2 linked regions of the Saccharomyces cerevisiae S288C genome follow. The main gene of each other region encodes a partner of the protein of the gene in region 2 in a complex. Each region holds a gene or a part of one and is shown on either strand. Other genes may lie near its edges. The genes, in order: NPR3 and IML1.

Region 1 (5,963 bases), on a different chromosome or scaffold from region 2:
ATAATAATTCCTCAGCAGGAAACTCTAACAACAACAACAACAACAACAACAGTAACAGTAATAAGTCTCAATATAAAAAGCGCTATGCAAGGAGGTCAAGCTACGGATACAATGAAGTACCTCCAAAACCATACTATTTCCAGCCTTATTACTATCACCCCATGCAATACCATATGGGCCCAATGGGCCCATTGCATCCTTCTCAAGGTTCTGCTGGAAATCACCATCCATATATGATGGTTTATCCCATGTCACCACCTCCGCCTTCTGGGTTAGATGGAAGCATGATCCCTCCTCCAATAAATGTAAGCCAATCACATGCTGCTAATCATGGCAGTACCCATGTTCATGCGAACGAATTCATATCAAACGATACTGGTGACATAAATGAAGATAACAAAGCTTATAGTTTAGATTACTAAAAATGATTGGTCGTAAAAGCTGCAAAAGATGTATGTAATTCAGCGGTGATGTTAACTTTAAAAGTGCAGTTTCGTTTTCTTTTTCGTCTCCCTATTTTTTTCTCTGGATCTTTTTTTTTTTTTTCACTTGGTATTGTTTTCATCCTTCTTTCCTTCTTTTACCTTCTTTGTCTCCTAATATAACAATACATACTTTCGAGTTTTGATTACAAGTCACTCGAAATGTTTTTTTCCTTTTATATATTCTTCCTTTTGTCTATTCTTATATACACATATTTTAATTTTTGGTAGATTTTTTTTTTTTTACTTACATTTTGTTACAATAGAGAGATTTACCAATGGTGTATCTCGATTAAATACTTATCTAGAGCATTGAGCAATTTCTTTAGGTCATGTCTGCTAATTTCCTCTTTGATGATAACCAATTCCATGGGGACCTTTCCATTGAAGTACTTGAGCAACTTGTTAAAAAGAATCTGGATATCTGAAGGCTGACCATAAATACATCTATAAAGCCATCTTTTTTCAATCGCAGTGGCTCTTTCAGGTTCCAAAATTATAGTATAGTCATGTTGCATTTCTGGATCATCGTATTCGAAGTGTAGTATTTCTTCTTCATCCGCAATAGCTATTTCATTGTCATCACGATCATCAACACGACTATCATTTTCGTTATCTTTTTCGTCCACATCTTTGTTGTTGTCGTTGGACTGCATGCCTTCATTCTTTCCTGAACACGCTTCGCTGGCGTTTGCATCTCTACTTTGCCCATCTTCATCATCCAGCTTTTTATCAGTTTTTTTGTAGTCCATGCTGGGCCTTCTAGCAGTATTAGTCTTACGGAAGCCTTCCTTTTCTAGATCCTCATCTACTGCCATTTTTATGTGTTTGTCCACTCGGATATTTATGAAAGTCAATAATTGGGTTACATACCCGTACTGTATTAACCACGCTAACGCGTTCAGGTAAACTGGCTTATGTTCCCTTGATGGGATTATGTTACTGTACGCTTGAGGTTTGTCCGTGGACAACAAACTTAAAAAAATGGGTAAACTGGGCAATGATGGGAATTTGGATCTGAACAACATCGAATTTTGATAAATTAGTGGTACTCTGTCGCTTCCACTCTTATTATTTTCGCGATCGTCCATTTTTTTCACGTTCCCATCATTTTGTGAAGTACTTTTATAATCATCTATTGTATAACCTTGAATAGGAGCCAAGGGTGAAACAATATACGTGTATTTGGAGCTTAGTGGGATCACTATTCTTGCATGTCTCCAATACATTAAATGCAATGCGCAAGAGCGCAGTATGCTTGATTCCAATGAGTTTGTTTCTGTAGTAAGGTCGTCCAGTGAAGAAGGGTTATCTAATAAATCAGTTATCAGATAGCGATACGACCTTAGAGGGATATTTGGCTGGATATTTCTGACTAAATGTTTCAATATGATAGTGCCAATATCGTCCTGGTATGAAAAAGTTTCGAGGGAGCTAATAATATTATTTGGCTCGTCCAATAATAATAGCGCATAGTTTAAAAGGTCATCATTGTCGTCGCAGTAGTAATTGCTTTCATTGTCGTCCCCGTCATCCACATTTGCTGCTCCACAGTGGCCGGTACTATTAATATTATTGCCAAACCTGTATATGTTATTATTGGTATCACTGAATTGAGCCTGATCGTTTTGACGATTTTGACTTTCAATTCTCAATGATGATTTTTCTAAAAATTTCATGTTCAAAATGGACGTCAAATATGAGCCTCTTAGCACGGGTTGCAGTTTGAAGTTTGGCATTTTTTCAAACTCGTTTTGAATCGGGATTTGCAAGGAAATTACTTTATCGTCATTGATCTCAAGACATGCGATTTCATTTCGTTGGATTTTATCAACACATTCCGTTAGCGCCCTAGCCAACGAAGATTTGGCTAAAATTCTTTGGTACAGATACTTCCCCTTGTTTCCTGCGCCTCTTATAGATTGGTATGTTTTCGAATGTTTCAGTACCCGTTCTTTTTCCTTTAAAATTATATGGCATTCGCTAGAAATGTACGAGGTTTTTGATTGCACATATCTTAACAATAATGATAACCTTGTAACAACAAACTGATACATGTCATCAATCCTTTTATTATATTCGATTAAATGCGGATTCATAACAAAGCATACATGAAACATGTTCATATTTTTGCCCAAGTCTTCCTTTTCTCTCTCAAATTCGTTTCCACTGACATCAGTATTTATCCTCAAATTCGGCGTATCAGTAGAAGCCTCATGACCAATATTACTGTCATAAACAGTGTCAGCTTCACCACTATTAACTTTCTTCAAAGTATTCTCACTCAGTGATGAAATTTTGGAAGCGATAGATTTCTTTCTACTGATGTTTGTTGTAGTACTCGAAGATCTTTTAGAGCGGGTTTTATTTTTGTGCTTGGATTTTCTCCATCTGCCTTGAGAATCTACATGAATAGGTAAGCCTAAGAAGCAGAAATTATCCACCGTGAATTCGAATCTGGTATTGCACATTTCCCTCTCAGGGCTACAAAATTCTGCAACAAAATCATTATCAAATTCTAGAATTTTATTTATATCCTGGAAGTTTTCCTCTTCAAAAAAAATTTCATTCATAGAGATTTTACCATCCTGCAACATTGCCGAAACTTCCATGTCTTCTTCTTCAACATCGTACTGGGTATGGGAATTTCGTTGGCTCGTCGCGGCATTTTTATGATAATGGTGGTAACGATGGTGGTAATGATGAGGTGATTGGCCAGGAGTGTCGTTCAGGCTACTATTACGAAGTTCTTGGTTATGCTCTCCTGTACTCGATAAAGATTTTTTAGAAGAAATTGAACAACTTCCTGTAAAAGCATTTCCATCAGTCTCATTGGACGTATTTTTTAACAGTTTGTTGCCTTTTTTAGTGCTTTGTGATGGCTTAGATTTAAGCTTTCTTACTGGAGAATGTGTTTTTGAATCAGTACTCTTCTTGGTACTCAATTTATGGAAGAAATTCTGGGATCTCTTGGAAGCGGCCCTTGATTTGTTATTAGTCCCAGAATCTAGATATGATTCCGCTACTGAAATACTATCGTTTTCCATTATCATTTGTGGTGAAGTTGGAGACATTGAATCCGTAGATTGGAAACTCGAATTAGTTCTTGATAAGCCATCTTGCGGAGGGGAAGATGAGGATGAACTTGAGGGAGAAGAAGATAAAGAAGATGACGATAAGGAAGAAGATATAGAAAACGAATCGCTAGAAATGTCTAAGTAGTCTGTGGACAATTCGCTGTCACTTAATCCCGATGATGACGTTTCAGATTCAGTTTCTTGGTATTGAAAAGTCCGAGAAGTATCTTCGATATCGGTTTTTCTATAACCTACACCATTAGTAGCCGCAGGAATTGAACTTTGTGATCCTACAGTATTAGCATGCGATCTAGTTGGAGGTAATGTCACATTATTAGTATTAGTATTTGTCATTGATGGCGTAATAGCGGTATTGTAACTTTTCGCTGACTCGTTTAGAGCAATTTGAGAAGCTGTTTTCGTAGAGCCAGAATTAAAGAGTTTTTCTTCTTTATTTGTACTTGTGTTTTTATTTAGATTTGCATGGTTTCCATAGAGGTGCTGATGCTTCGTTGGATTATTTGTTAGAAATGCTGTATTGGAGGGTGGGTAGTGATAAACTATTTGTGGCCCCGAATGCGTTGAAATGACGAGGTGAACACCTAGTAGACATGAATTGGGTAAACATTCATCCATTGAAGCTTAGTTTCTACCCAAAAGATGACTCTGTTCCCTTTTTTTTTTGAATTTTCTTCACATTTCAATAGCTTATCTATGTTTAATGGTATTTCAAGATATCACAAGCGAAAAAGTTACTTAAGAAAAAAGACTAGTGATCCTTACATGGCTTATAACTCATTCACCATCGAATCATTGTAAAATCATATGCCATCTTAGTATAGTGGTTAGTACACATCGTTGTGGCCGATGAAACCCTGGTTCGATTCTAGGAGATGGCATTTATTTTTTTGAAATTGTATTTTTTTTTGGACTAGTATTCATTATCAAAGATTTCAATTTATATAATATTTAAATGTAACCGTTTTCAATTCTTGAAAAACATTTTTTATAAAGCAACAGCTCCCATTCTTATTCATTTGTATTCAAAAATTCTGGCATCAATCTCGTTCATTTCAGCTTTCTTTTGGAAAAAAATTTCCCGCTGACATTCTATGATGACGTTCTTTAATGGTGAAGTTGCAATATCCCAGCTGTTGGCAGTCAGAGATGCTATCAAATTCTTGGCTAAGGAGTAGTCGCGCTGATTCAAACTCAATAATTGAATGGATTTGTTATGCACTTCATTATTTTGTGCCAAAACTTGCGTAATACGAATTCCTTTATAGTTTGCCATCGTGCAAATATAAGCGTTGCGTTCATTCGAGTGAGTATAATTTAGGGCTATGCTAATCCCATAGGGGTCCGCATCGGTAAATATAGAACAGTCCGATATCAATTTGGAGCAATATTGTTCTAGTTTTTTTAGGAATAACCTTGTCAAGAAATCTGGAAATCCCTTACCTGTAATGAGCATGGTATTTGTACTCAACTTGTGATAATTATTTACTAATTTGGTGAAGACAGCTTCTTTTTCCACTATTACAATATTACACATACTTGTTGTCCCTAACTTGATGACCGCATCATCTTGGAAAAATGGAATTAGACAGGGCTTACCAGGGAAAATTGTTTGCTTTTGCATCTTTGGTTCATTTTCACATGTCAGAATATTGTCATAAATATCAATGGGGAAAGGCGAATAAACTAAACCCTTTTGAGCTGGTATAATGTTTAAGGATTTTCTTGGAGAGAGCTTGAAATTAAAGCGTATAACGTCCAGCCACTGGACTACGTTTGCTTGTCTTTGAAACAATTCCACGTTGGAGTAGAAGATATCTCTCACTGTAGTGTTTTTACCTAGCGGTAATTTTTCCATAACGACTTTCAATAAGTTTAAAAGGATTGCGCATCTTTTCAACTTGAACTGATGAGTGCATAGATGCGGGCCATTCAAAGGGAAGTCCAATGTTGTGTGAATGTCAGGACTGCTTGTATCGCCTTTTTTTTTTTTGTTTTGAAAGACGATTGAAATAGGCTGTTGATGTTGCTCTAATGAATTAGCCGCCAATGACAGGAAATGCTTAATATGAGCCAAAACATCTGCGTTTGAACAGGGAGTTCCGTTGGAGTGACCATTGGAGTTCAAGTGAATGGACCGTCTTTTAGGAGTGAGTGCTTTGACCAATTCCTGCCTTGTTTTATATTTTTTCCGCAATCCCTCCAAAGCCATGAGAAGGTGAACTTAGTAAATCGTAAAATCTTAAGGGTGAAGACAAATATGTGAGGTTATTTGAATGATATTTAGTTGGATATAATCACTAAATAAAGTAGATTTTCCTTGGGTAGTAGACTTTCTTTTACGTTATTCCTTTTATAATTTTAATTTTAGTTATTGATTTCAATG
Region 2 (7,139 bases):
GAAAATGGAAAACTGGGGTCAGAGAACTTGTAGCAATCTTATAAGAAGAGTCCGCGTTTGAAATTGCAGTTTGCAAATCAGAAGATATTAAGATGGGGAAAGAAAGATCCTTTAACGCAGGAATTGCGGAATAATCTTGCAAATTCAAATCCACTGTAATCACCAATGGAAGTTTATTAGGAAGAGAATATAGATGGTGGATGGATTTGACCAAAGTAGTTTCATCTGTAAAAACGGTAGTTAAAATGTCCTTAGAGAGTTGATCTTTGATGGTATTCAATGGATCTTGATTGTTCAATAGATGAGTAGCATCTGTGGCAACAGATTCTAGCCCTTTGAAGGATGAATGACTATTTTTTGTGCTAGTAGTGTAGAACACTTTATTTTGGGGAGCACTAGAGGAATATTGCGCCAACAATTGTGGGAGCGTCAAGAGGTCAGAAGCAGTCATTCGCCAATCTTTTGTTTTTCTCTGGTTCCCGTTCCCTACTGTTACTTTATTAGTATATAAGGGATCTGAATAAATATCAAGACGATGGAAAAAAAATAACAAGCAAAGGAACCTTTCTATATCCCAATTTTATTTCACATTAAAAACTATCGTCTTCCAACACTTTATATAACTGCTTGCAGCGGCCAGTAATTCGTCGCATCTCCATGACTCAAATTTTCCAGTGTCTCTTAGCAGTTAAACCATTCCTGCCTCTGTGTGGTGGTAATTGTGGCATTATGAGTTAAGAGATAATACGCACGTGATGAAATTCATTCTGTGAAATATCACGTGGACAAATTATATTACCCGGATTCATAAATCCACGTATTTTACCTGCATCTTTATTGAGTGCTTAGTAAAAGTCAGTTGGTGAAATTCCGCAGATAAAACAGCATATTAGTTGCCTGAAAATAGCCTTATGTGTTGGTTTGATACGTCTTTGTCATTATATACCCAAAGGTTTGTAGTTCATGTTGCGGGTTGGTATGAATAAATTTTTCGTATTTAGTGATTATAATACTTATTACCCATTTCGGCGGCTAATAAGGAATCTGCTAAGATAGGTAAATGTACAATACCATCAATGGCTTCTAAAAGTTTTCAAAGAAGTGGGATAAGGGATGAAAGTTGTGCGTGTGTTGGTTACTTAGGTTCTAATTTGGCTTCAATTTGAAGTGAGATGTTTTGTTTAACATTAGTTTCAAATTAACAGCTTTTGTGAGAAAATATATTTTGGATGAATAGCAGAAAATAGAAATCTGGAAATAAACAAAACAGAGCCAAAATTCTAAGCTTAATAACATGAATATTTGTTTATCTAGCATCTTGTTCCTCCCACTCTTTTTCCGAAAATATGGCTAGCCAACTTAGGTGAATGGGGAAGGGTACTAGATTCATTCATTTATTTCTATTCAAGGACAAGAACTTTTAACATAGTAAGACCTTTATGTTAGTTTGGTGCGGCTGACAAATTCATAGCTAATGTGCTAGAGCTCTTATATTGGTAATTACTAATCCTTCATTGCTATTATGACTATCACATTATAAGGTAATGAAAAATTAAATCATTGTGTACGGATTAAGTCCTTTCTCTAAAAGAGATCACGTGACTATTTGAATCACTATCTATGTTAATCATTATTGTTTAAAAGATAGTAAGTGACAGAACAACGAATTGTTTCTGTAACTACTTTTTAAGCAGGGAAATAACTCAGCACTGACAAGGGACACTTTTTAAGGATGTTCGCTAAATTGCATGGGAAGAAACAAAGACCAATTTCTTCCATCAATTCACAAACTCCAAGGACTAGCAATACTACTCACGCAAATAGCATATCCTTATCATCGGGTAATTTGATAGTAGGTTCCAATAGAAATTTAAGACAAAAGAAAGAGCAGTTTGGTTCTCAACAAAGGGCTTCCGGCAGAAAGCTGATTTCAAATAAGGAAAATGACGATAACGTCAACAATGGTGGTGACAACAATTATGACAATGGGGAACGGGTCCATCGCCATCATATTCCAGGACTGAAAATAAAGGCGTATCAAGCTGAATTAGGCTATCATGAGTCCCGATTTTCCGAGAATTTAGTGATGCTAAATCTAGTTGAGTTCCCGGATATAAAACCTGGTGATTTGGTAGAATTGAAAACATATCACAAAAATCCATCTGCATCGAACGGAGATAAGAAAATTTATTTTATTGCAAAAGATTTTGACGGAGAGACTAAAAGAAGGGCAAAAACATCTAATGTTTCAATACTTTCGGGTCAACTGCAAACTTTGTTAGATTTGCCTTCTAGGTCTAGGATATGGATAAAATTGAAACCAAACAAATTTGACTTACAGGCAGATGTGGTAGAGTTTAATATCAAAGATTGCCTACTAAATAGAGGTGATATGTGGGTTCTATCATCTAAGCTGGTAGATACATGTGTGTTTATGGATCAAAGACTGGCATTCTTAGACTCTATCAGAGGTACTATTAAGGGAATTTATCGAAATGGTAAGAAGATTGTTTCTGGATATATTGGCGAACAAACAAGGATAATTTTTCGGTCCGAATCTGCCAGATTAATTTTTTTGATTCAAATAACTGATGAAATGTGGAACTTCGAAGAAACTGGTGAACAATTATTTCAAAAGATGGTTAATTCATTTTTCCCGAAGATCTTCAAAAAATGGAAAGATGTGGACACCCACCATACTATCACTATAGCCTTCGCTATATCAATGGACTTGTCTGATACATCATTCAAGGACTTAACACCCGGCGAATCTTTGAAAAATTCACAGGATTATTTTAGGATAGTTGTAGATCAAGTCAGTATTATCCATTGGGTTGATATTATGGAAACATTAAGAGAAGAATTTATGGAAATCAGAAAAGATTTATTAAACAAGCAAACGGATAAGGGTTACAGTGTAGCGAATGGAAGATTTTCACCTGTAATCAAGTCGAATTTTCTCGAATTGGTCAATTTTGCCACGACAATTTTAACGGATCCTTTCAAGCAATTAGATCTTCGACACACTACAACGCACGTCATGATTATTTCACCAGGGTCTGGATTATTTGACGTTGATTATAGTTTATTAAGGCTAACAGGAAAAAAACTACTCTCTCTTGAAATGACGATGGATTTAATATGTCTTTCAAAAGCTCCATTGCACATAGTTCCACTTTTTAGGTACCGAGACTTTGAGAACAAGCTTCATCATTGTGTACCGCTTTGGTTAAGTGTTTTCTTTTGGAATGATCATGACAAAAAGAGTAACTCAGAATGGACTCCAAGATGTAAAATTTATGACTTACAAATGATGGGGATTACTGAAAATGAGTTAATTCGGGAAGTGGATGTTGAATATTTACAGCTGAACAAGAAAGTCAAATCACTATCCGAGTTTATGAATGATTACGACAAAAATGCCTTCGAGGTGAAAATTTTATGCGCTGGCTCTAATACGAAACAATCTAAGAAATTAAATTCAAAGTTTGATACCGTCTTCGAGAATGATGTTGTTGTGAAGGCAAGGAAAATCCCGGCAACAGCAACAACAACACACGGTAACACAAAATTCATATGGAGAGGTCCAAAAGTTGCTCTCCCAGCCATTAAGGATATTCAAAAACCAAACGTAATACCAGATCTATCAATAAAAACAATAGAGGCCTCTTTTTATGATGATTGTAATACTACAAATGATAAAATTAGCACTCCCACCACTTCTAACAATGACAATCTCGAAATGAATGACTCATTGGTCTCTGTGAGATCTGCTGATAACCAAAACACATCTTTGGCGCTGGATTCGCTCAAAGGACTAAGCAAAAGGAACTCATTGAAAGATTTTACTCAAAGAGTAATTACAAAATTTATTTCGAACATAGACACAAGTAAAAATAAAAAAATAAAGTCAACATTACTCAGAGATGATGTGGATAACTCACCTTTAGGTTCAAATACACCACTACCATCTTCTGAAAGTAAAATAAGTGGCCTGAAATTACAACAAAAAGGCCTGGCAGATGAAAACGTTATCAGTAAACGTGGAAATTTGATAATAAAGAAAAACCTATCCATTTTTGGGCTACCTAGTAATGAAATCATGAGTGGTTCACCCTCCTCATATTTAGGCTCATCACATACCAGAACATCCTCTAAACTTTCTAATATGTCAGACAAGGCTGCTTTCATTACAGAAGGGCAAAAATCAAAACATGATGACTCGAACACTTATAGCCTCACACAGCAATTGAAACATCGTATAAGTGAAACTTGGGTGGATATTAAAAGTCCTTCCATTCCGGTAAGTAGTGAATTTGCCAACGAATTATTGCCTATACGTTGGAAAGATGTATGGCCAAAATATGTGGCCAGAAAATATAGTAAATGGAGGTCTTTTACAACCCCAGCAGAGTTACCAATCACAATTTCTGATTTTCCATCCAAGGATGATTTTGATAGGAACTTCATCTTCAGAAATCACTCAGTGACTTTAAACACAGATCAAGAACAATATAATCAGACATACAAAGACTTACTTCGTGATATGATTTATATGCGACTGTTAACTGGTTTTCAAATCTGCGTGGGCCGACAAGTAGAAAAAATAGAACTTTCTAGGGAAAGTGGTGAAAGTGAAACTGTAGTCAACAAGTATTTAGATTTCAATCAAAATGATGCGTTCAAACTTTATCTAATGATCGACTCTGAAATACACAGAATAACATGCTCGTCAAGTGGAATTATTGATGTGGAGAGGTATTTGAGAAAAGATGAAGCAAACTTGTTTGATCAGGTTCCTAGTTATATTCCGTTGGTTAAAACGAGATACGAGAGCTCATTTCGTGATGCTATGATTGACCCACTTCATGTTAAAAGAGAATCTTTGAACTGGAATCAAATTGATCAGGTTCTAGCAGGTTATGGCGATAACTTAATAGATAGGAAATGGCACGGATTTCGAGCTAAATATGTGGTGTTACCAACAGATATCCCTCCCAACACATATTCTATGGTTATCAATGGTAAAAGCGAAACTTTAAACCCAGAAGAAATCAGAGTCGAGGGTTTGAGAAGATTAATTGGCTCAATAACGAGGTCAAGACTAAGAACAGAGAAAGAAAAAAAAGGAAGAAAAACTAAGAGAGAAGAAATACAGCCTGAAGTTATGTTTTACACCGGCCCGCTTTACAACTTCATTAATGAGCAACAAACATCTTTAGAAAGCTCGGCTATAAATTTTAAAGATTCAATTTTTGTTAATGATAATAACCTTTTAAACAGAAATGTAGAACTATCCAAGTTGGCGTATCAAATTCAACGTGGCGAAGATCGCATTACTTTAGTCAACAGAAAATGGCACTGGAAAAAGCATGAAAAGTGTTTTGTTGGCTCGGAGATGGTTAATTGGCTCATAAGAAACTTCTCTGATATAGATACTCGAGAAGATGCAATTAAATATGGGCAGAAGGTGATGAAAGAGGGATTATTTGTTCACGTTTTAAATAAGCACAATTTTTTGGACGGGCACTACTTTTACCAGTTCTCACCTGAATACGTAATGGACACTAATAAACTAGAAAAAACAAACTCCCATCGCTCTACATTATCCGATCCAAAGCAGATGTTGAGAAAAGCATCCACTGGTAGCTCAAACGATCCAAGCGCTATGACTCCTTTTTCTTCAGTAGTACCTGCTATAAGCGCTTCGAATGCTTCAGTTGCTGACGCCAAAGAGCCATCACGCCCTATTTTAATGCTGAGTAACTCTCTTGTTATCGATGTTGATCCCGCGGGAAAATCCTCGAAACAAGAATCGTGTACAGTCCATTATGACAGAGTTCATAACCCCGACCACTGTTTTCACATAAGATTGGAATGGTTGACTACCACCCCAAAATTGATCGATGATTTGGTTGGGAACTGGTCAAGGTTATGCGAAAGGTACGGTTTGAAAATGATTGAAATTCCTTGGGAAGAACTTTGTACTATCCCTTCGGTCAATCCATTTCACTCTTTTGTGGAAATTAAGTTAGCTATCAATCCTTGGGAAGATCCTGAGTTCAAGGATAGGGAGCTTTTCGCTAAAAGCAAATTCTACTACCACGTTTATCTTTTAAAGGCATCTGGGTTTTTATTAGACAATAGGGCATCCAAATTTTTACAAAATCAAGATATAGAGTTTGACATCATGTATTCATGGGGCAAACCACAGTTCAAATATGTTCAATATATTCATCATACGGGTGCTTACGTCGCGGAATTGAGGGAAAATGGCTGCCTATTTTTAGCTCCTAACAACATTTATATATCCAGAGTGAATCCGGGAAACATAATCGGGAAAATTCATTCTGCTTCAAGCTCTTCATTAGATGCTCAAAAAGTGATCCTAAATTTCAAATCAACTTGCTTGGACTATCAGAAGTTAAGGTCAATTTTCCTTGACGCAAAGGAAATGTGGATTACAGGAAAGATTGTAGAAGATTGAGTAGCCCCATGACATGGATGAGTTTCTTCACAAAGTAAATAATATTCGAACGTGGATAGTAAAGCATAATGTTATCTATTTATATATAAATATACCTATGTTTTTATATGTCTGTTTACTGATCTAAAGTCTTTGAGCAATCTTGATAACATCACCCAAAACACCAGCGGCAGTAACGGCAGCACCGGCACCGGCACCTTGAATGACAACAGGATTGGTGTAACGCTTAGTCTTGATGGAAATAACGTTATCTGATCCCTTCAATGATGCGAATGGGTGTGAGTAATCGTACTTTTCAATTCCTACAGACACAGATTTGGTGGCAACATCGACTTTACCAATGAATCTCAATACCTTATTTTCAGTGGCAGCTTCCTTCTTCAATTGAGTCAAATCTTTATCGTAATCAGATAATTTTTCCAAGAATTCATCAGCAGACTTGACAGATTCCAATGGTTTTGGAATCAAAGACTGGACAGGGAAGGAAGTTGGAGATTCAACTTCCACACCAGATATCCTACCAACAATGGTAACCTTTCTAGCAACATCCAACCCATTCAAATCATCTCTTGGATCTGGTTCAGTATAACCCAATTTTTTAGCAACTTTGACAACATCAGAGAATTTGACGTCGTTAGCTTGACTAGTGGAG

Evidence for each region.
Region 1: IML1 (region 2) and NPR3 share a complex: the UniProt entries of both Saccharomyces cerevisiae proteins name them as parts of the SEA complex.

What each region holds. Positions count from the first base shown.
Region 1 is NC_001140.6:58,369-64,331, forward strand, and holds NPR3 (Npr3p), read right to left. Parts: upstream 4,196-5,963; coding exon 755-4,195; downstream 1-754. Other genes in the region: RIM4 (Rim4p), read left to right, coding at 1-422; SPO11 (DNA topoisomerase (ATP-hydrolyzing)), read right to left, coding at 4,593-5,789. UniProt on the Saccharomyces cerevisiae protein: Component of the SEA complex which coats the vacuolar membrane and is involved in intracellular trafficking, autophagy, response to nitrogen starvation, and amino acid biogenesis. Mediates inactivation of the TORC1 complex in response to amino acid starvation.
Region 2 is NC_001142.9:682,835-689,973, forward strand, and holds IML1 (GTPase-activating protein IML1), read left to right. Parts: upstream 1-1,732; coding exon 1,733-6,487; downstream 6,488-7,139. Other genes in the region: MET5 (sulfite reductase (NADPH) subunit beta), read right to left, coding at 1-451; HOM6 (homoserine dehydrogenase), read right to left, coding at 6,611-7,139. UniProt on the Saccharomyces cerevisiae protein: Component of the SEA complex which coats the vacuolar membrane and is involved in intracellular trafficking, autophagy, response to nitrogen starvation, and amino acid biogenesis.